Canis lupus familiaris: one gene and its partners. The protein of the gene in region 4 interacts with the protein of the main gene of each other region in a pairwise test. Links are inferred from orthologs where the notes say so. Each region holds a gene or a part of one and is shown on either strand. Other genes may lie near its edges. The genes, in order: LRRC8E, CIB3, UBE2K, TRIM2, TNIK and UBAC1.

Region 1 (2,543 bases), on a different chromosome or scaffold from region 4:
TCGCAGCTGGTGCACCTGCAGGAGCTCAGCCTGCTCCACTCGCCTGCCAGGCTGCCCTTCTCGCTGCAGATCTTCCTGCGGGACCGCCTGAAGGTCATCTGCGTCAAGTGCGAGGAGCTCCGCGACGTGCCCCTGTGGGTGTTTGGGCTGCGTGGCCTGGAGGAGCTGCACCTCGAGGGGCTCTTCCCCCCGGAGCTGGCTCGGGCAGCGGCCCTAGAGAGCCTCCGGGAGCTGAAGCAGCTCAAGGCGCTGTCTCTGCGGAGCAATGCCAGCAAGGTGCCGGCCAGCGTGACTGACGTGGCCGGGCACCTGCAGCGGCTTAGTCTGCACAACGACGGGGCCCGCCTGCTGGCCCTGAACAGCCTTAAGAAGCTGGCGGCACTGCGGGAGCTGGAGCTGGTGGCCTGCGGGCTGGAGCGCATCCCCCATGCCATCTTCAGCCTGGGCGCGCTGCAGGAACTTGACCTCAGGGACAACCACCTGCGGTCCATTGAAGAGATCCTCAGCTTCCAGCACTGTCGCAAGCTGGTCACGCTCAAGCTGTGGCACAACCAGATCGCTTACGTCCCTGAGCACGTGCGCAAGCTCCGGGGCCTGGAGCAGCTCTACCTCAGCCACAACAAGCTGGAGACCCTGCCCACCCAGCTCGGCATGTGCTCCGGCCTCCGCCTGCTGGACATCTCCCACAATGGGCTACGCTCCCTGCCGCCCGAGCTGGGCCTCCTCCAGAACCTGCAGCACCTGGCTCTGTCCTACAATGCCCTGGAGGCCCTGCCTGATGAGCTCTTCTTCTGCCGGAAGCTGCGGACGTTGCTTCTGGGCTACAACCACCTGAGCCAGCTCTCGTCCCAGGTGGGGGCCCTCAGAGCCCTCAGCCGCCTGGAGCTCAAGGGCAACCGCTTGGAGGCACTACCAGAAGAGCTTGGCAACTGTGTGGGGCTCAAGAAAGTGGGGATCCTCGTAGAAGACACCCTTTACGAGGGCCTGCCGGCAGAGGTGCGGGAGAAACTGGAGGAGGAATGAAGCAAAGGTGGGGAAGGCTGGGTAGAGGCCTTCTGGATGCTTCCACTGCAGAATCTCTACTACTGTCTTCAAGAGAGGTGGCCAAGAGGGCCCAGGCCAGGAGAGAAGGAGCAGACGCATCAGCCACCATGGGTTCCAGGCAAGATCCTGGGACTGGTTTGTCTGAGAAGAGATGAGAGGCTGTGGATTTGGGGTGGAACGTCGTAGAGGGATTAACTCAGTCATAGGATTCTCAGACCCAAACCACACCTGCGTCTTTGGCTGGCTGTCCTGCCCACACCCTGGACATTCTGGCCTAGTTAGTGCCATATATGGGGTTGGGGCACATCCCAATGGGATTTCAGCCCTTTCCCCCACCCCTCAAAACACCTTATAGCTGGTGTTCTCTCCCAAGGAGGGGACACAGACACAAGGGACTAATGAGTGACCCTTGCCCCCAACTTTGATGCCAAATCCTTATTTATAAGTTGTTTGCTATGGACACGCAAAATCAGAAAAATGGTTCTCGTGTTTGGCTATGCATCAAAATCAACATCCCCAAAACAAAACATCCTGGGCCCCACCCCTGAAAGACTGACTCAGGTCTGGCTGGAGGCCAGGAACCTGCCTGCAAATACACATCCCAGGTAATTCTGATGCAGGTGGTCCTAGACCTGTGTGTTGGGAATTGCGGACCTACAGAATCTGCAAGTCCAGAGCAGGGATTCTGAACCCTTTCTAAGTCCTACACCTTTTGAACATCTGAGAAAAGCTGGGTGTTTCCTTTCCCAGGAAAATGCTCAGGTACACATACATGCAAAGTTCCGCAAGCAACTTTAGGCAGTCAGCAAATTCCCCCAGATTTCCCAGAGGGCCATTCACGGACATCCTAAGGATGGCAGACTCCAGTGTTAAGAATGCCTGCCGAGGAGGTTAAATTTTTCTGAGCAGAGGCAGGGATTTTGTCTTTCCAGTGTTTCCTGTGTGAGAGAGCATCTACCAGTGGGTGCTTAATAAATAATCTGAATTATGAGAACTAAACTTCCGATCTCTGGTATCCACTCCTGTTTGTCTAAGCCTTCCATTTCGCCAGACCAATAACAGGCAAGCAATGACACTCACATGGCGGAATCAAGGGTATGAGTTTCTGTCCTGGAAGCAGAGGCAGGAGAGACCTCGGCTTATCAGGCATCATCTGCGTAGCTATTTTTTGGAGAACTCTCTTTCTTCTCCATTCCTTATTATTCTCCGGACTCCACACTCTCGCATCTGTTCCACCCGCAAATTGTCACCACGGGAGTCCCCACAAGCCTTCCGCGCCCGCCAGTGTTCCCGTGCTGGACCAGGAGCAGGAAGGGCATAGGGCACAGCCTGCCTGACCTGGACCTCCCGGGCCTGGACACCTCAAGGAGTCTGAAAAAATGCGAGCCTCTTCCTCGCAACTGAGAGCAGACGCAAGCTGCTTTCCGAAATCCAGGATCCCAGATGGGGGCATTTTCCCGGGCGCCCACAGACCAGTTGAGCCGCGAGGAGACCAGGCT
Region 2 (2,997 bases), on a different chromosome or scaffold from region 4:
CCCCTCAGAGGCCTCCTCTGGCAGTTCTAATGAATGAGAAAGGAGTTAAAGCTTTGGTCCCCTTGAGGAACTCAAGGATTGTTGGGGGGAGAGGGAACTCAGGAGGTTGGGGGTAGGGCTCAGCCTTGGGAGGCCCTGGGGTGAGATCTCTTCGGCCAGATCTCTACATCTGGTCTCTGCCCACCTAAACTAACAGCTACCGGGGCACTTCCAGGCCTCATGGTGGACAAAGATCTAGAAATCAGCCACTTCCTTGTATAATTGGGGAGATCATGGCTCACAGAGGGCGCAGCCACACCCAGGGTCACACAGTGAGGGCAGAGGTGAGATCCCAGGCATCCTCTCTCTCATCCGGCAGGTTTAAGGTGAAAAACATGCCTTCCAAGCAGATGTGACTCAGTGATGTGCGTTTATTCCCAGAACCCACGGAGACCGGATTCCACAGTGGAGTGAGGGGTCACCCGGTCCTCCTCTGACCCAGCTTCTCGCCCACGGTGCTCTCAGATGCGGATGTGGAAGGTGCTGTGTGCAAAGAGAAATAGAGTCCGTCATGAGGCAGAGCTTGGCCCTGGCTCGTCCTCCTCCTGAACTCTCCCAAGGGGAGTCCCTGACACAGGCAAGGAGCTACTAAGGGGAGATGGGTCCGCTTAAGAACCCCAGGCGGTGGCTCCCCTGACTCCCACAGGGGCGGAAAGCACACCTCTTTGGATGGGAGTTGACCTTCCGGCTCCGCCCCAGACTTGCTGTGGGACTCTAAGTGAGTGGCTACCCCGCCCTGGGCTTCAGTCTACTCCTCTGTAAACGAAGGATAATAGCCGTCCCTCCTACATGGGGCTGTAATGAGGGCGAAAGGGGCAAAGGCACAGGGTGCTGTCGCACAGAGCTGCTATCAGCGATAGGGCTCATTCAATTGTCATTATTCCTGTCTCTGTCAGCTAAGAGACCAGCGGGCTCCTTCAGGTAGAGGATGGGGGGACCTCCGTGCACATAAGGACACCACCCGTAATTATAGCCACGACAGCAACCCCGGCACACAGATACTGAGCACCTACTGTGTGCCACGCACTGCCCTAAAGTCTTCCCATGTACTAACTCGGGGGTCAGCCAGCTGTTCCTGCAAAGAGCCAAATGGTTGATATTTCCAGCTTTGTGCAATGACTCAGTTGAGCCTTGTAGCTCAAAAGCAGCCGTGGCCAGTACATACATAAGCAGGCATGGCTGTGTCCCAGTGAAACTGTTGATGGACATGGAAATTTGAATTTCATATCCATTTCATGTGTCGTGGAGTACTATTAGTCTCTAACCTTTCCCCCACCATTTACAAAATGTAAAAGTCATTCTTAGCTCCCGCGAGGTACAAAAATAGGTGGCTGGCCACCCCCATTAACTTGCTATCAGCCCTCCGGTGAGGGCTCTGATTCCTCCCAGGACTGCCAAACACAGTTGCCCACTCTGTTCACTGCAAAATGTTCAGGCAAGAGAGGGCTGAAGACCAGCCATGTTCCATTTGCCTAAAGAGCTGTGTCCACCCACAGGGGGTGCTCATGGGGCCCCCAATTATCCCCACTTTAAAGATGCAGGGACTGAGGCCAGGGAGGCTGGGAAAGTTCCCTATAGTCACAAATGAATGAATGGAGGAGCTTTCACAAGTGGAGTCCGCACACTAGTTCTGCAGGAGCCCCTCTCAGACATGGAAATGGATTGTGCAAAGTGGCGAGGAGTGTCACACCTGAGGAAGTCGGGTGCCCGCAGGATCATGTTCTGGAAGTCTTCCAGGGAGAGCCGCCCATCGTGGTCCCCATCGGCCTCATCTAGCACCTTCTCGCACACCAGGCTCACCTCCTCAGCGCTCAGCTCCCCTCGTGTCAGCTTGGTCACTGTCTGCTCCAGGTCCCATGCACAGATGTAGCCGTCATTGTTAAAGTCTGTGCAGTGGGATAGAGGGGATGTGGAGTGGGGGCACAGCTGGGGGTAGACAGGCCGGGCCTCTTGTCCCCTTGTTGCAGAGGAGGAAACTGAGGCACCGGAAGGAGCCCAAGACCCTGGGGTAATAGCTGGATCTTGCTTTAGAATTGGGCAGAGTCCTGCTGGGAGGTCATTCATTCCCCCCATAAGTATTTACTGAGGACCTACTATGTGCCGGGCATATGTGACTGTTTTTAATCTACAAGTATTTAGTGAGTGCCTACGATGTTCTAGGCACCGTGATAAAGTTTTGTTCATTTGACAAGCTTTTAGTGAGCACCTACTGAATGCTAGGTGCTGTGATAAATTTTCTGTCAGTTAGTCACACAATATTGAATGCCTACTTTTTCCCAGGCACGGAAGACAGATGGGGACAAAAATAGATACTCTTGCTGCCCTTGGGTTTCATCAGAGAGAAATCAGTATGAAGAGGAATGAAGCAGCACTGCTCCATGCTGGGAGAGGAAATAGGATGTGGGGTGTAGAGTGGTTGAAGGTGGAAGCTGCTTTTGACCTAGACTTCAAGGTAAGCAGGAGTCAAGGCAGAGCTGTTCCAGGCAGAGGGAACAGCAGATGCAAAGTCCTAGAGGGAGGAGGAGTTTGGGGAGCTGGAGGAAGAGAGAGGCCAATGTGGCTGGAAAGGAGTAAGGGGATGAGGTCAGCAAGTAGCAATATGGGGCGCAGGACAAGTCCATGCGGGGCCTCAAAGCCCCCTGGGGAGACATCTGTGACTGCAGGGCAGCTCCTGGCCCCACACCTGGTCTTGTTCCCACCCCCACCCCACCCCCATGTTCCCCTACCCCCGAGCTCTGCACACACCATAAATTTTAAAAGCATAGTAGGCTTTGAGGTCGCGGGGAGCCATTTCACTCATTACGGAAAACATGTCCAGGAAGTTGTCCAAGGTCATGTGGCCGTCCCCATCCTCAGAGAACACCTGGGCAATCCTCTGGCGGAACGGGTTGTCCTGGGGACAAGAAGCAGGGAGGGGACTCAGGGCACCATATGGGATCACTCTCAGCACCCACCTTC
Region 3 (3,936 bases), on a different chromosome or scaffold from region 4:
GCAAACATCAGCTATCTTTAGAAAACAAAAGACAAAAAAAAAAAAAAATTCCTTAAACCAATCAGTATTCTTAGTAAACAAGACCATATGAAACAAACTTTGGGAAACCTAGAGATTTATGTAGATGATATGATGAAATACTTAATTACTTGACCAGACACTCAAAATACTACATTTCCACACTTAAAAAGGAAAACACGTGGACTCTACTACAAGTCATTCAATGAGCTGAAAATAATCAACACAATCCACTTATAAAACTGGACCTACTAAAATATCGATGAAAATAAAGCTATTTATTGGTTATAATCCAAGATTAAATTATCTGACCCTTTCCTAAATGTACTCTGCAATTTATTTTCTAGAAGAAATTTCCTTCCAGGTTTATAAAGGTACTCTTCTTAAAACAATTTATTAGCATTTCCTATTCTCTTTCTCTGAAATACCATAATGCTTACTTGAAGCAAGACTTCAACATCCCTTACAGAGCAGTATTGTTTTAACAATATGCATACTAGAGTTGATACAAGATTTCTTTTAAGCTTTAATTGAAGTACTAAAAATATAGTGAAAGTCACCTCATACGAAGCAAAGAGACCATATGAATTGAGAGCAGTAACTTACCATTTTTAATAGAAAATAAAGCACTAGAAAGAAGTCATATTAAGTCTCAGGCTTGTACAACTTTATTAACAGAAGAAATGTTTTAGGCTGTTGGCAACAGTATTAGCTGAATATTTCATAGGATTATATATATGTCGACTATCCTGGAACATATTTTCTTGCGAATAAAAAGTTAGAATCATTGTTTCACTGTATATCAGTACAGACATTTATGATCCTATTTCTGCATTGTACCACAAAAATACAAAGTCATCCTTCCATTCAGAGTTTTGGCTCTTGAACAAATACAGAGGTCAGAGTTCATACACATGCTCTGTAAAACAGATCATTTCTTATAGACTACTACATTAGTAAATCGCTAGTATTTGTTATTTTAAGTTAATCTTAAAGAATTATATTCTCCATGTCTAATTGGAGAAATGATTACTGTAGAATCAGTGACATAAATAAAGCTCAAGTATTGCCACTTATGTCAATTACTCATTAGAATGCTGAATTTCACAAATCATTGAGATTATCAACGCTCCAACATAAAAGAAAAATACAAATAGTAATGATACATCCAATAATGGTATGTGACATCTTGAAAATAATAACTATTTCAGTATTACTTTTTCATCTCTCTCTTTGTTAAATCCAAGGAGGAAAAACTTGGCATTCTTGTTGTTGTGGGTATAAAAAATTGTACTGATCCTTGTACAGTTTTGAGTCAAATCACTAGAATATTCTGAATATACTATATAAGTAAATATGGCAAACAGCAGAGTATTTAAATTCTGCAGGACTCAAGAGCAGCTTGAGACAAAAAAAAAGTGTTTCCAATAATTTCAATTATGATACAAACCTACTCAATAAGGAGGTATAATAATATATTAATCCGGGGGAAATCCCATGTTTTTAATAGGGCTGGTTTTTCAAAAGTAAGAATCAAGTTAACTATGAGAGACATCATAATGAAGTTTCATGGCATAACACAACAGTCACAGAGGCATTGTCTTAGGAGAGACTCTGACCTGTAACTTGTAAACAATATTTTGAAATAAGCTACTCTTTACCCTCCATTATTTTTTCCTATCGAAAAATATCTAAATGCCTTTAATACACCAAACAACATGCCTTCGACCCAATCAAAAAGCTTTAGATGTCAACAGAAAAGAGGCCTAGGAATTGGGGGTGGGGTGAAGGAAGGGTTGTGGGGGGGGGGGAAGTCGGGAAAAATGAGATAATGATCTATTTTGGAATTAATTCCCTACCTCAGGTGAAAATTCCCTCATTCCCCACTCCAATAGAATAGTATCCCATTACGTCTCCTCTTCTCTCCCAACACCGAACTAAGGAGGGAGTAACTCTGAAACGTCCTTCTTTCATCAGTACCTAAGGTCTTTTTACCGCTCCTTCCCAAAAGAAAAGGACAGTGGAGGCCAAAGAGGCTGTAACGTAGAAAACCCTCAAAAGTGCGGGCCTCGGAGCGGCGCGGCTCTCGGGATCCAGTTACCACCTTTCCCCTTCCCCCAACCCACTTCCCGGGTTTTCTCAGGCCCGGCCTGCTCCCTCCCCACCCTACATCCACACTTCCAGCTGTTGCCACGGCCTCGGGCTCTCTCTAGAGCTCACACCCCTCCAGGAGGCGCCCCCTTCTCCATCTGCCCCCCAAACCGTGCTCCTCTCCAGACCGCCCGCCCGCGAGACTGTCCATCCCAGGGCCCGGGGAGGGGAGGGGAGGGCGACGGAAGCAGGGGGGAGACTGCTGCTTCCCCACAGGCAGAAAGGGCGGCCGCCAAGAGGGCCACCCAGGGGTTACCGGGGGGCCGGGGTCGCCGCTGGGAGCACCCTCCCGCCCAGGGCTGGGGTGGGGGCATGTCTGGGAGTTCATTTCTGACCTCCTCGCTCTTCAGCACCTCCTTGAACTCCCGCTTGATTCGCTGCACCGCGATGTTGGCCATGTCTCCGCCCGCAGCTGATTCGTACCCGCCTCCTCCGCCACCGCTACGACCACCGCCACCGCCGCCACCTCTTCCACCAGCGCCTCCTCCCTCGGCGACTCACACCCGAGCACACGAACGCTGCCACTGCCACCCGGCCGCCGCGCTCTCCTCAGTGTGGAATCACCTCCGCGCCCGGCCACCAAAATGGCGCCGGGTCCGCGCATGCGCAAGACGCTGACCCGGCCGGGCGGCGCAGCCGCTCCCGTTGTAGCCCCATACGCCTCAAACGCGAGCCCGCGCCGCGCTGCGCCGCGCGTCTCTGCCGGAGCTGCGGCCGCGTGGCTCCGCCCTGCCGGCGTCTGAGGCCAGGAGGGTGCGGCTTCCGCGCTGGCCGGCCCTGCGCGGGCCTCCCGGGTCCTCTCGGGTGCCTCCGCCCCTCTCCAAATCGCTGTGGTGCGGCCGAGGCTTCCCACCCGCGGCCTCTGACGGAGGGCTGGGCGCGAGCTAGCGGGTTCTCGCGGCCCCGGTCGGCTGCGAGCGCCGTCCTGACCCAGCCAGACCCAGGACCCCCGGGCTTGCTGCGCCTGACTGGGTCGAGGGCACGAAAACACCATTCCAGAACTCATCCGGCCCATTTTCTGTCGGTGTAGGCCCAGAAAAATCCCACGGCGGTCCGTTTTTGTTCTGAAGCCATTAAAGTGCCACTACTAACGCGATTGTTCCAGATACTCCACGTCGCTGAATTCAAAGTGGTCATTGTTGGGTCGCATCAGGTGTATTTGAAACAGGTAACTCCATGTAGATGCCTGAGGTAGATTTCGAAGTCAGATGTTGATCTTTGAGCTACTTAGATCATCAGTACCGAGGTGTAAGAGTTTTTAACCTTGGGGGCACCCTGGGTGGCTCAGCAGTTGAGCGGCTGCCTTGGGTTCGGGTCATGATCCCGGGGTCCTGGGATCGAGTCCCACATCGGGCTCCCTGCATGGAGCCTGCTTCTCCCTCTGCCTGTGTCTCTGCCTCTCTCTCTCTCTCTCTGTGACTATCATAAATAAATAAAATTTTTTTAAAAATTAAAAAAAAGAGAACAGGGTTTCTTAACCTTGACACTAGTGACATTTTTTTTTTAAGTTTTTAACATTGAATCTACATCAGAATCCCTCAAGAGTTTGTTTAAAAAAACGAAACAAAACAAAAACAGGTTGCTAGACCCCATCCCTAGAGTGTGGGGTGGACCTAATAATTTGCTTCTCTAACAAGTTCTCAAATGCTGCTGCTCTTGCTGCTGGTTCAGGGACCACACTACCAGCACCACTAAACTAAAACATGTGAAAATAGTTTGTATGTTAAAGTGGAAAATGGAGAAATAAAATAAATAAATACATATTTT
Region 4 (4,129 bases):
TTCTTGAAAAACCGTAAGTATAAATGCCAGCTGTACTCCACAGGAAATCCTCAGTTCATAACACATGGTTATGTACTATACATCTTCCCGGTGACTCACATGTCGGTCGCTTACGGGCCATGTGACTTTGGGCAAGTTACTTAACCTCTCTGCCCCAGGTCCCCTCTCTGTTAAGTGAGGACAATAACTATCCTTACTTTATGTAGTGAGGACCCAGTGAGATAAAGTCCTGGCACATAGTAAGTGCTCAATAAATTGTTGTTGTTATTATCATTGACATTTACCATGTATTTCGCCGTACATGCTTGTTTGTTTGACTCCGTGGGCCCATGAGAACAGCCCTCGGTATTTTAAAGCTCTAGAAGAACCTTGTTATTGTAAATCTCTTATGTTAGCATTAGGTCATATAAATTCTGTATCTGAAATTCTAAGAACCTGGCATGCCCACCATTCTGATAAAAGCAGCTAGAAAAGAGGTACCTGGGTGGCTCAGTCGGTTAAATGTCTGCCTTTGGCTCCAATCAAGATCCCAGGGTCCTGGGATCGAGCCCCACATCACCCTGCTCAGCAGGGAGTCTTTTTCTCCCTCTCCCTCCCCCCGTTCGTGCTTTCTCTCTCATTCTCTTTCAAATAAATAAATAAAATTAAAATTAAAAGATTCCAACTTGGGACACCTGGGTGGCTCACTGGTTGAGCGTCTGCCTTTGGCTCAGGGTGTGATCCTGGAGACCCGGGATCGAGTCCCATGTCGGGCTCTCTACAAGGAGCCTGCTTCTCCCTCTGCCTGTGTCTCTGCGTCTCTATGTGCGTCTCTCATGAATAAATATATAAAAATTTAAAAATAAAATAAAAGATTCTAACTTAAGCAGCATAAACCATACTTCCCCAACCCCACAAAAAGACAAAGAAGAAGAAGAAGAAGAAGAAGAAGAAGAAGAAGAAGAAGAAGAAGCAGGACAAGCGCTGTCTTTGTGCCTTGGGGGGGTCTCCTGGAATTCACGCCATCTCCTCTCTCATCAGCCCTCTCCTTTGTCCTCTGTCATTGTGCCGTCTTGCCATCTGGGGGTGCTTGTCCAGCGGGAATGGAGGATACACAGATCCGAAGGAGGCCAGGGTTAGGGTGTGTGAGGCCTGAGGCAGGAGGCTGGCTGGGGCACCCCGTCCTGTGCCTGCTGAGCCTCCGCGCCACCTGCCACAGCACCAGCAGAGTCAGAAGTTCTGTCCTTGCACAAGACTGTGGCCACTCGTGCCCCCCTCCCAGGACCTCAGGCCCTGCAGGAGACCACAGCTTCACTTAGAGACCACCTGCTATATTCGTACACTGAGCCGAAACACTCAGGTTGCTCTGGATCAAATTCATTAAGAACAACTTCTGCATCTGACTTAATTCCTCCAGGAGCCCCCAAACAGGTTGGCTTCAAACGTGGTACATCCAGATAATAAATACAAATTCTGGGGGTTAGGACAGGCAGCGAAATACATAAAGCATCACATGTCTTAGTCTCACGGGTCACTTTGAGTTTCTGTAAAAGTTAAACTCCACCTCTTCCCTTTCTCAGGTTCTCTTCCTGCTCGAACCGAACCCCCAAGGGGGAGTTCACTGACTTCACACCGAGCGGTGGCGCATCAGAAAGGAGGGCACAAAAGTCTCCGATCAAAGCTGCCGGCGGTGCTTTTCCGTTTAGCCGGAAGCAGTCAGTCCCAAAGCAATTCATTCCTGGGGCTCTAGCTGTGCCAACCCCCCCCCACCCCCTCACCCCCCGCCCTTATGGCCCCAAACACATTGCGCCCCCGCCCTAGCCTGCAGCGCCCCTCTGCACCACGAAGGGGGTCTTAGCACCAAATAGGGCAGCGGGGATACTGCACTCAGGCAGCGGGGACTGGTGCCCGAGCCCTCTTCCACCCTCTCTCGCTTACTTACAAGGCAGAAACCAGAAAGAACCCCAGGTGGGCAGGCCAAGCCCATTTCAGGTTTCACCCCCAATCACATGGTGTCCTCTGGCTCCACAGACTTCCTCCTCGGTTAGTCAAGGACAAATGCCCTCATCGCCTGGGGCCCTTCCTTCATTCCTGAGCCCCACTGCAGCCGGCCAGAGTACCCTTTGAGCACTTTTATGGGCAGTAAAACTTTACAGCCGGCCAGCTCCAAACCGTTCCCACATTTCTGAATAGAACTATTTATGACATACAAGACTCCTATGGCTTGCCCTTTGGAAATACCAGCAGATACCAGACCCCTTCAAACAGGGTCGACCGAGTTACATCGGTTAACAGCCGGCTTACAGAAACCCCACAGAGGCAGAGCCAAACTCCTGACTGTGAACACTTAAGTCCGAAAACAAAACAGCCTCTGAGCCTCACAACATCCCTGAAGCAGCCGTGTGCTCTGCCTCTCCCATGTTGCTTTGACATCAAACCCACTTGCGTGCCTCCCCTAGTTTTTTGCTTCCCTGCCCATTTCTTGCCTGGGTTGGCCAGGATCACTATGAGCTTTGTCAGCACTTCCCAGAGAAGCGATCGTCTCCTCCCGTTGCTAGCAGGCAACACAATTTAAAACCGAGAAAAAGCTAGCAATTCAATCACAACTTGTTTCTCCTAACTGGTGCCCAGGATTAACCAGCTAGCCCGTAAAAAGCATCATCACGTCCTCAGAATCGTCCTTACCCGTGTTCCATAACGGCCACTCTGGTGCATCAGAGACTGGCCCCAGCCTCCTCGGATGTGGGGACTCAGCTCTCTGCAGCCCACAGACAATTGGGCCCATTATAGTCATCAGGCTGCTGAGTTAAAGGGTGGCCCTTACAAAAATATAAACAGCTTGTCAGCACAAGCCAAAGGGGCGGGGCTGCAGTATCAGGGGACAATGGGAGCCAATGATCAGCCTCTTTGGGCTCTGTTAGCTTAAGATATTATGTTTCATTCTGAAGTCGGGGAGACGGGGAGACCAGACCGAGAGCCCGAGGGAGACACCCAGATAGGAAGGGCCAAGTTCTCATCTTTATAGCCCAGCAGCATGAAAGGAGTCCAAGCTGAAAAGTTTAATCACTGTGGGCAGACCAATTTCAAGGAAAAGTTTGTATGCCTCACACATAATAATACATATGTTTAAAGTCCCAAACATTGGTGTTGCACTAGTCATCTTCACTCTTCTGGGGTCAATAAGTGTACTATTTATTTAGGTAGATAGCAGTTTTTCAATCAAAGAACAAAGTCCAAGGAAGCTGCTTTTATGACATGCTTATTTTGTTGAATAAAGTGTCTGAAAAAAAAAAGAATAAAGTGTCTGATGAGAAGCATTCACTACCTCCACAGAGAAAACGTTGGATTTGATTGGTATGTCTTCAGAACCCAGAGAAAGGGGCTTATTTTTGCCCCCAAATATAAATGGTTCACATTCATTTTTTAGATACTCACTTTATCTGATCATACGTATACACACAAAGCAGAAGTTAGTTCAGTATGTTTGGAAGAAGAAGACGGGATAGCCATGGCTTTTTTTTCTCTCTCTTGATCTTAACTAAATTCTGCTTTTAAAGCTACTATGCCAGCTTAACCTTTCAATACCCTATGATAATAACCAAGAACAAGAAAATAAACTGTGGTTTTTTTTTTCTGTATATGATTTCTAAATGATACACTGAAGTAAAAATAAAGTTAAGAGTTATTTGGCTGATTTGTGGCATTGCATGAATTATAGTCATACAAACTTTGAGAAAAGTACAGTCATTACAATTTGGAGCAGTCTCATTATTTACATAGGGGAGCAGAGTAGCTATCAAAATTAACTAGCAAAGAAACAGAAAAATGTTGACATATACTTATTTTCCACAAATGCTCTGTGAAGCCCTTCTGACTTTGATCATAAAAATCATAATCAAAAGGCACTGTCCTTTCTAATCTATGTCAGTTTTTAAAATGTTATGATTCTGTCACTGGTATTTAACTCCTATTAAAGGAAGACTCCTCCGGTGGCCCTTCCAAATAACGTATGAAGCAGCTTCTTATTCTCCTCTTCTAACGATTCCAAAAGAGCTGTTGTATCTGGACTGCCATGGCTCTTGACTTTAAAGAACAGACCTTCTAGAAAAGGTCTAGTTTTCCTCTAAAGCATCATGATTCTCTTATTTAA
Region 5 (4,180 bases), on a different chromosome or scaffold from region 4:
TCTCCAGACAGGATCTGCTTTTAATGCATTGAGCTCAGGGTTTACAAAAGAGCATTGATTGTGTACATTAAAGAGCCACCGAGACAGCAAGGGACTGGTTAAGGCTGCAGCAAATTCTCCAAGATGCCACTGACCTTGGCTGCATTTCAGGGGTCAGGCATTCCCCACGAGGCTCTCAGCAGGCGGGCTTTCCTGAGGGGTTAGGAACTAATGAGACCTCTCATCTGGATAAACCCACCTCTCCTAATTTGGAAAGACAGAGAGACATTATCTGCTCTCGGATTTGTGGAGATCACCAACAGGGCCCTTGGACTCAATGGCCCGCCTGCACACCTCACCCCCTACAAGACTGGTCATACTCTCCGGCACCGGGGATGCAATCGTCTCCACATCTGCATTTAGGTCTTCCAGCCAGCCAGCAGTTCCTATCTCTAGAGCTGGCCTTCGCCCTCCCTCTTCACACACCTCCTGCAGGCAGAAATACAGAGGCAAAGCACTAAGCCCAGGCGACAAAGAGCAATTTCAGTGAATCCTGCAAGATCTCTTTTCAAAATACAGATCTCTGGAGCACAGGCCTCCCGTGTGTGATTCACACTCAGGCAGGCCCGGTGAGCCCTCGTGGTTGCTCACCAGCCTGCAGGCTCTGGGCTCCGGATCTCAGGAAACCTTCCCCGTGAAAAAGCCAACGGGGGACACCTCTGACCGAGGCCAACTTAAAAATCGCCTCGGATTGCTTTCTATTAGAGGAGGATGAGGACATTCTGCTCAGGAGAAAACCACAAGCCTTGCCCATTGTTCAGGCTCCTTCCCCTACCCCCCACCCCACCCCCTGCGGGGCTTCGCCACTTTCCCCTACCCTGTAGTCTGGGCCATCCATCCACCTGATTAACCCGCTGGCAGCAACTCCCAGCACAGAAAGTAGGGCAAATGAACACACACAGCCTGTAAGGCAGGAAACCACAGACTTAGCCAAAGCACCCACCCTGTTACCAGCCCCCACCCCCAGCTGCCCAGGGAGCTGCGGCTTCTGAATGTGGCATTTCTGCACCAGGCGAATAGACAGCTTACTGTAATATCACATGAATGAGCTTTTGCTGCCCAACTATCCAAAAAAAAAAAAAAAAAAAGAGGCCATTTCAAATGGCATCTATGTTCCTTCTCAACCCCTGGACTGCCTCGCAGAAACCTCACCTCTGGGAAGGATGAAGCAGAAGAGGAGGGGAAGTTCCACAAGAGGAGGCTGTGCAAGGGAGGGAGGCTTTAATGAGCCGCAAGAAAAAGTAGCACTTGGACGGTTCAAGGCAGCTCTTCAAGATACCCGTGAGGGAAGGGGCAGTGGCAGGAGGAGGGGTGAAGATTCAGGTCTGTAACCCCGAGATTTAGCATCAGTGTAACCATGTAAGCCTCAGGAGGGCGTGTGAACTTCGCGGCTGCACCCCTCCTGCGCGGCTGCGTGGACAGCACCGGCGAGGCGGGCCCCGACCCTCCGCGCTGCCAGGATACACATGCAGTCGCTTTCCCCCCTTTAATTCCTAGTCTTCGTTCAGGGGGAGGAAGAAGCCATCCTTAACTGGGGTGCGATCCATCTCAGACCCCCCCCCCCCACTGGCTGCAGCATCAGACCCTCCCTGTCCCCCTCTTCGGGAGGCAGCATCTCATTAAAATGGCAAGAAGTCTCGGCCCCCTTCCCCCGAAAGAGCGTGTTGGGATCCGGGGGTGGGGGTGGGGCGTCGTCGAGGCTACACTGGGGTTCCCGGGATCCGGAGCTCAGAACAACAGCAAAATGGATCCTATGGCAAGTGATGTCTCAGTCCATACAATGAAAAAAAAAAAAAAAAAAAAAAAAGGGCGTCTGGGGCGATTCACGTGAAGGGAAACGCAAAGCCAGCCGCGGGGCCGGAGGAGCTGGATGCTCCCCCTACTCTCCCTACAAAGGGCTGGCCGCGGGCACACGCGCACACGCGCACACTCACGGGAGTTCCGGTCTGAGCGGGGGAGCGCGGAGAGCACATCCCTTCACCTGCCTTAAGTTGGCCCATAAAACTGAAATGTCAGGGCCACAAAGTCAAAAAAAAAAGAAAAAAAAAAGCAAGCAGGGCTAAGTTACACCGTAAACAGGGGTGCGCGAGGCGGGCGCGGGAGGGCGCGGGGGGAGCCTGGGGGCGGCGGCCACCGACGGGCACCGGCGTCGCGGGGTCGGGGCCGTCGGGCTGCCCCGGTCACCCCGCAGCGAGCTGCGCAAAGTGAGCGGCCGGTGCGTTTCTCCACGTTTTGCAAAAAAAGAAAAAAAAAGGGGGGGGGGGGAGGGGGGACGGTGGGGCGTCGCGCCTTGCACGAGCTGGCCGTCCGGGGCGCGTGTGCACAGCGCACACACGCGCGCGCGCACACGAGCATTCCACGTTCAAGGCTCGGGCGCCGGGGTAAGGTGAATGCCCCGCATCCCGGGGAGCCCGGCCGCCGCCGCGGGGGTCACGGAGCCGAGGCTCGCCCGGGGCGGGGACGGGAAGCCGGGGTCCCCCCCGCCGCCGCCGCGCATCCGCCTTGCCCCCGCCCGCGCGCCGCCCCTAGCCCCCGGCGAGACCCCCCGAGACCCCCCGAGAAGCCGGTTCTGCTCACCCTCAGCGCCGAGAGATCGATCTCATCCAGGCTGCGAGCCGGGGAGTCGCTCGCCATGTCGACTTCTTCGCGGGAGCAGCGGCCCTGCGCCCCCCCGAGGCTCCCCCCTTGCAGACTCCACCTGGTCTACCGGCCTCGCGTCCTCATGCGGCTGCCGCGCCAGAGGCCCCGGCCCAGCCCCCGCGCCCGCCCCGGCCCGGCCCGGCCCGGCCCGGCCCCGCGACGCCCGATCCCGCTGCTGCGCCCGCGGGCGGCCGCGGACCCGGAGCCCGAGCTGCGCGGCTCTCCCAGCCCCGAGCCGCGGTGCGTGTGGGCTGCGCGCCCCGCTCGGCTAAGGGCGCAGGGGCTGCGTGGGTGTATTTAAATGGGACATGCTTCCCTGCCTGTGCGTGGATGGCGGCTGCATCGGCGGTTATAATGAGACACATCAACTCCTCCACTCCGCCGGGGGGTGGGGGCGGACGAGCGCCCCGAGCTGTCCATCAGCGCTTCCTGGGAGGAGTGAGGCGGGGGGCGGGGGCGGGGCGGGGCGGGGCGGGGCGGGGCGGGGCCTCCGCCCGGGAGAGGCCGCGCTTCCTGACCCGGGCCCTCTGCACCAGCGCGCGGGGCGGGGCGCGCCCTCTCGGCCCGGGCGCCCCCCGCGGGGTCTGGAGAGCGGTCCCCGACCCCGCCGGGCCTGTCGCGGGGGCCAAGGGCCTTTATTCGTGCGCGTCCGAGTCGTGCGCTGCAGCACAATGGCCCTCCTCGCACCGGGGGCGGGGGCGGGGGGCTCTCGGCAGGGTGCGATGCTCCGCGCTTTGCACATCCCGGGGAGGGCGGTGGGGTGCGGGGGGGGGGAAGAGCGACGGCCGCCCTCCCCCCATTAGTTATTTGTGAGGCTGGAGTAGCACGGGCTGGTGCAACCGGTGCATATAAGGACTTGTGTGCAGGGAAGGGGATCCGCCTCCAGGCGCGGAACGAATGGGGGCGAAGCGCACGGGCACCCTGCGCTCCAGCGCTGCGCCGCGGCGGGGGGGGGCGCCCAGCGACCCCCGGGAGCCCGGCAGGGGGCATCCGGGACCGGCCACCCGCGGGTCGGGGGCTGGGAAGGTTACCCCGGAGCGGGAGAAACGCAGATCGGAGTTCCCTGTTGGCACCGCCACACCCAGGACCTGCCCGTACCGCAGTTCCCCACGGAAACGACCGAAGCGAAACGAGCAGCTTCTTTTTTTTTTTTTTTTTTTTTTGCTTTTTTTTTTTTTCTCTCCCTTCCCCCGGGTGCCGCAGCGTCAGGTACCCCTCCAAGGGCGACAGCGGGTGGGGCGGCGCACGTCGGCCCTGGGGGCAGCATTTCCGCCGCTGAGCTCCTGGGGCGGGCGGAGAAAGTTTGGCGGGTGCTGGGAGGTGTGTGTGCAAAATGCACGGCAGGAGGGCGAGCTCACCCCCACCCCCCGCCCCGCCCCGCCCCCCGCTGGCTCCTGGAAAGGCTGAGCGTGGACAGTGGTAAGCATGACCTTCCCCAACCAAAAGTATGAGGTCACTTCCCCCGGGCCCCCCGCGCAGGAAGGAAGGGACGCGGGAGCCC
Region 6 (3,500 bases), on a different chromosome or scaffold from region 4:
AAATGCTTAATTGCCTGAGCCACCCAGACAGGCACCCCTACTCTTGACTTATATAATCTTTAAAAGGGTTCCTCTTGAAAAAAAAAAAAAAAAAAAGATCAAAGGTGCCTGTCTTCTTCCTGCCTGCCTGCTGAACTGCTCTACTTCTTTGAGGCGCCTAAGGGTCAGTGCTGGCAGTGACCCGCAGAGCCCCCGGGCCCACACCCCTGCGGCCCTGCTCAGCCTGAACTGGACGTCCCAAGGAGCACTCGGCAGGAAGGAAGTCAGCGGCAGGTGGCAGTCAGGACAGACGCTTCACTGGAGCCAAACGGGGTTCGGTGAGCTCACAAGGCAGCATTTCTACTACGACCCATGTCACGTGCTTTCCTGAACCGGCTTGTAACCCCAGGGCTGGGGGCTCCACCCATGAATGTCGGGAGGACCCACCACACCAGAGCCTGACCTCTAAGTCACAGAAAAAGTCCAGAACCTCCCACTAAATCCAAGGATAGGGTGGTCTTTCCATGAACATCAGTAAAAACTAGCCTCTTGTGTCACTCACTTCTACCTCAGCCTGGGGAAGCGATGCCCCAGGACTTCTGCACAGTGACCGCAAGGATGCACCCGCACTATCCTGCCAGGAGTCTGCGCACTCACTGCCCTGCCCACTGCACTTCGCTGCCCGCCCACAGCAGGCACTGGCATGGGGGTGCAGGTGTTGGGGGTGGGGATAACAGCAAAGTCTGTTGTCTCAAGTGCAAGCCCTGCTCTCCGATCCAGGCTTCCCGGGAGCCACACTAACACTCCAGTCCTTATGGACTCTTCTCTCCAACGGTGTAGGACCAAAGGGTGGGAGAGTGTGCCACACTGGCCCAGCCTCAACAGCCTTCCATAACAATCGTCACAGAACCTGTACCACAAAGAGGCCACGGTGTAAGGCCCGGCCTGAGTGCATGTCTGCGAAGAGAGCACATGGACACCACCGAGGTGGTGACAGGGCTGATGACGACATGGGAGCACCCTCAGTTGGGAAGCCCAGGACCCAGCAGGTACCGCTAAGCAGGACACTTCCAGATGGCACTGCTGAGCTCACCAGAGAGCAAGGAACAGCAACTTGGCCTGACAAATGGTGTGCCCTGGGAGGGAGCAGCAGCCACCAGCAGGGCCTACGGGCTGGGGTCTAGCGGCCACACCCAGACAGGATGTGGGCCTTGGGTCCCTATGAGATGAGGACCTGGAGCTCAGAAGCAGGACCCTGCCAAGGGTGTACACCCCCAGAGGGAAGAGGAGCTAGAGGAGCACTGGCCCCTGTGCAGGGAAGCGCCAACCCCAAAGCCATGGCTTATACTACGCGTGTGGCCTAGGAGTCCTGCCTGTGTGATTAATGGGAAACCTGGCCCCAGAGGGACATGCCACTCAGCCCATGGAAACGGCCTCAGAATCACCCACAGCAGGCATCCCACAGCCCAGCCACATGGGATTCCCACAGAAACACAAGTCTACAGTGAGCCACTCTGACAGCACTGTGCCCCAAGCAGAATCACAAGACCGGGTGGACTCAGGTCTAACGCCTAGAGCTCACTGATCTATAACCTGAAAGAAAACCGCAGGCTCAGAACAGAGAAAACATCGAAGAGGAAACCAGGAGTCTAGGAGAAGAACAGAACAGTGGAGAACACGCAGCCACGGAAGCATCAGGAGTGAAGTAATGGAAAAGGGGCAACCAGATATGGTACAGCAATGTCAGCCACCCAAACACAGCCAGAGCTGGCCAACCCCAGGTCCCCGGATGCTGCAGACACCACGGTCACCAGATGGCCAGAGCCTGACCAGCCTCCCCACGCACAGGCAATCCTGTGCACCCTATCTCCCGATCTCTAGGGTGTCTCCACCCATGCCCACGGCTCGCCAACAGTGTGGCAATGTGGCCGGCATCCTACTAGGAGTTTTCAGGAGATGGCAAATATGTCAGCCAATTATTCGGAGGAAAAACAGCCACCTGGATCTGTGAGGACAACTTAAAACTGAATGTGGGCCAGTCTGTAAGCCCCTCACCCAGCTTTACTCTCTCCAGGGCCAGGGCTGGTTCTAGCTCCTTCCACTTGGTGTAGCGCCACAGAGAAACCACAACCCCACCCGGCTGCCCCAGGGCTGCAGAACACATACCCGAGCATCAGGTCGAAACTCCCTTTTCCTCCGGATCTTCTTGAAGATCTCCGTTAGCTCATCTCTGGGCTCCTCATCTTCCGTGCTAGTCCCTGCAGCCTCGGGGGCAGCCTCGGGAGCGGCCTCAGGAGCGGCCTCAGCCCGCGCCCCTCCCGGTGAGGCCTGGCCCGGAAGAGGCGAGTCAATGGTCGGGTCTTCCGCGTGCTCTATTAACCACTCCATGGCCTGAGGTACCGACATGCTGAAAGGCAACGGGAGACTCCTTCCAGCACCCCCAGCCGGTTAGAGGGCCTCCTTGACAGCCCCAGGGACAGCCTCTCTGGTGCCCCTCATCGTGAGAATCTCAGTACAGAAGGGTCTGAAGCTCCAGGCCCTGCCCCAAACCGCCCCAAGACCCTGGTCAGAGCATGGGGAACCCGCCTGTGAGGTATATGTTAAGGGCCTAGCTCCATGGCAAAGAGCAGCACAGCGCATGGACCGTCTTCTGGGTCAGAAGTCACTTATGTTGGGTATAAGTGCAGATGCAGAAGCAAGTGGCTTCGGCCAGGCAAGCACGAGAGGCTGCTGAGGGGGACACTGCACACACCTTCAGCCACCATGTCCCTGCCAGGCACAGGCTTCAACATGGTGCTTGCACATGACAGCCCAGGGAGGACCCACAGGACAGCCTGCCCCCAGCACATTTCGAGCAAAGGCCAGTCCGTCTCCACTGTCTTAAGACACTTCGAGATGTCCCAGCTACTTCTGGGACGTATGTTTAAAGTCTCTATTAAAAATGGTTCAATCTAAAAGTAGGAGACCAAGGACATCACCCTGGGGGGGCTGCCAAGCATCAGCACCAAGGGGAGGAAGTGGCCCAGACGTACTGATTCAGCCGGAGGGCCTTGGCGGCCCTGCTCTCCGGGAAGCCCATCTCCGTGAGTTGCCGCAGGGCAGCCTCGTCCACTCTCCCATCCTCCTCCTCGTCCAGCATCGCTGAGGGCAAGAGACAGGGCCACCTGTGAGGGCCAGGCCAGCGTGAGGGCTACCCCCCCACCATGGAGCCCAAGGACCCCACCTGTGTGCCAAACTCCCTAAACTTCAGCAAATCTACACAGAACCTTCACCCGGCATGCTGAACAGGAGTCCACATCCACAGAAAGGACTGACGCTGGGCCCGTGGGCCACTGATACAGCCTCTGAGGCCAGGCAAGCAGTGGAGTCTGGACACAGGACCCAGTCAACCTGGAGCCTGCTCGTACCATTTGCCTTCTTGAACAATTCAACGGCATCTGGGTTCAGCGCTAACAACTTCTGAGCCACCTCAATGAGAGACACCAGGATTCTCCGGAGTTCTGTCTGGAACTGCAGGGAAA

The links.
Region 1: the proteins of TRIM2 (region 4) and LRRC8E interact in binary tests that used the Homo sapiens proteins (3 or more experiments, as listed by UniProt). The two-hybrid records come from large-scale screens. The link is inferred for Canis lupus familiaris from reciprocal best matches to the Homo sapiens genes TRIM2 and LRRC8E.
Region 2: the proteins of TRIM2 (region 4) and CIB3 interact in binary tests that used the Homo sapiens proteins (3 or more experiments, as listed by UniProt). The two-hybrid records come from large-scale screens. The link is inferred for Canis lupus familiaris from reciprocal best matches to the Homo sapiens genes TRIM2 and CIB3.
Region 3: the proteins of TRIM2 (region 4) and UBE2K interact in binary tests that used the Homo sapiens proteins (3 or more experiments, as listed by UniProt). The link is inferred for Canis lupus familiaris from reciprocal best matches to the Homo sapiens genes TRIM2 and UBE2K.
Region 5: the proteins of TRIM2 (region 4) and TNIK interact in a two-hybrid assay, tested with the Homo sapiens proteins (2 studies listed by BioGRID and IntAct). The link is inferred for Canis lupus familiaris from reciprocal best matches to the Homo sapiens genes TRIM2 and TNIK.
Region 6: the proteins of TRIM2 (region 4) and UBAC1 interact in binary tests that used the Homo sapiens proteins (3 or more experiments, as listed by UniProt). The link is inferred for Canis lupus familiaris from reciprocal best matches to the Homo sapiens genes TRIM2 and UBAC1.

Annotation. Positions count from the first base shown.
Region 1 is NC_049241.1:52,998,626-53,001,168, forward strand, and holds the end of LRRC8E (volume-regulated anion channel subunit LRRC8E), read left to right. Parts: coding exon 1-1,023; 3' UTR 1,024-2,043; downstream 2,044-2,543. UniProt on the Homo sapiens protein: Non-essential component of the volume-regulated anion channel (VRAC, also named VSOAC channel), an anion channel required to maintain a constant cell volume in response to extracellular or intracellular osmotic changes.
Region 2 is NC_049241.1:46,726,623-46,729,619, reverse strand, and holds the end of CIB3 (calcium and integrin-binding family member 3), read right to left. Parts: intron 2,933-2,997; coding exon 2,785-2,932; intron 1,926-2,784; coding exon 1,730-1,925; intron 523-1,729; coding exon 501-522; downstream 1-500. UniProt on the Homo sapiens protein: Acts a an auxiliary subunit of the sensory mechanoelectrical transduction (MET) channel in hair cells. Plays a role in regulating hair cell MET channel localization and function.
Region 3 is NC_049224.1:73,349,853-73,353,788, forward strand, and holds the start of UBE2K (ubiquitin-conjugating enzyme E2 K), read right to left. Parts: upstream 2,801-3,936; 5' UTR 2,568-2,800; coding exon 2,505-2,567; intron 1-2,504. UniProt on the Homo sapiens protein: Accepts ubiquitin from the E1 complex and catalyzes its covalent attachment to other proteins. In vitro, in the presence or in the absence of BRCA1-BARD1 E3 ubiquitin-protein ligase complex, catalyzes the synthesis of 'Lys-48'-linked polyubiquitin chains.
Region 4 is NC_049236.1:51,380,465-51,384,593, reverse strand, and holds the start of TRIM2 (tripartite motif-containing protein 2), read right to left. Parts: upstream 2,801-4,129; 5' UTR 2,695-2,800; coding exon 2,665-2,694; intron 1-2,664. UniProt on the Homo sapiens protein: UBE2D1-dependent E3 ubiquitin-protein ligase that mediates the ubiquitination of NEFL and of phosphorylated BCL2L11. Plays a neuroprotective function. May play a role in neuronal rapid ischemic tolerance.
Region 5 is NC_049255.1:36,054,484-36,058,663, forward strand, and holds the start of TNIK (TRAF2 and NCK-interacting protein kinase), read right to left. Parts: upstream 2,801-4,180; 5' UTR 2,674-2,800; coding exon 2,617-2,673; intron 1-2,616. UniProt on the Homo sapiens protein: Serine/threonine kinase that acts as an essential activator of the Wnt signaling pathway. Recruited to promoters of Wnt target genes and required to activate their expression. May act by phosphorylating TCF4/TCF7L2.
Region 6 is NC_049230.1:49,436,398-49,439,897, reverse strand, and holds part of UBAC1 (ubiquitin-associated domain-containing protein 1), read right to left. Parts: intron 3,490-3,500; coding exon 3,387-3,489; intron 3,121-3,386; coding exon 3,012-3,120; intron 2,387-3,011; coding exon 2,146-2,386; intron 1-2,145.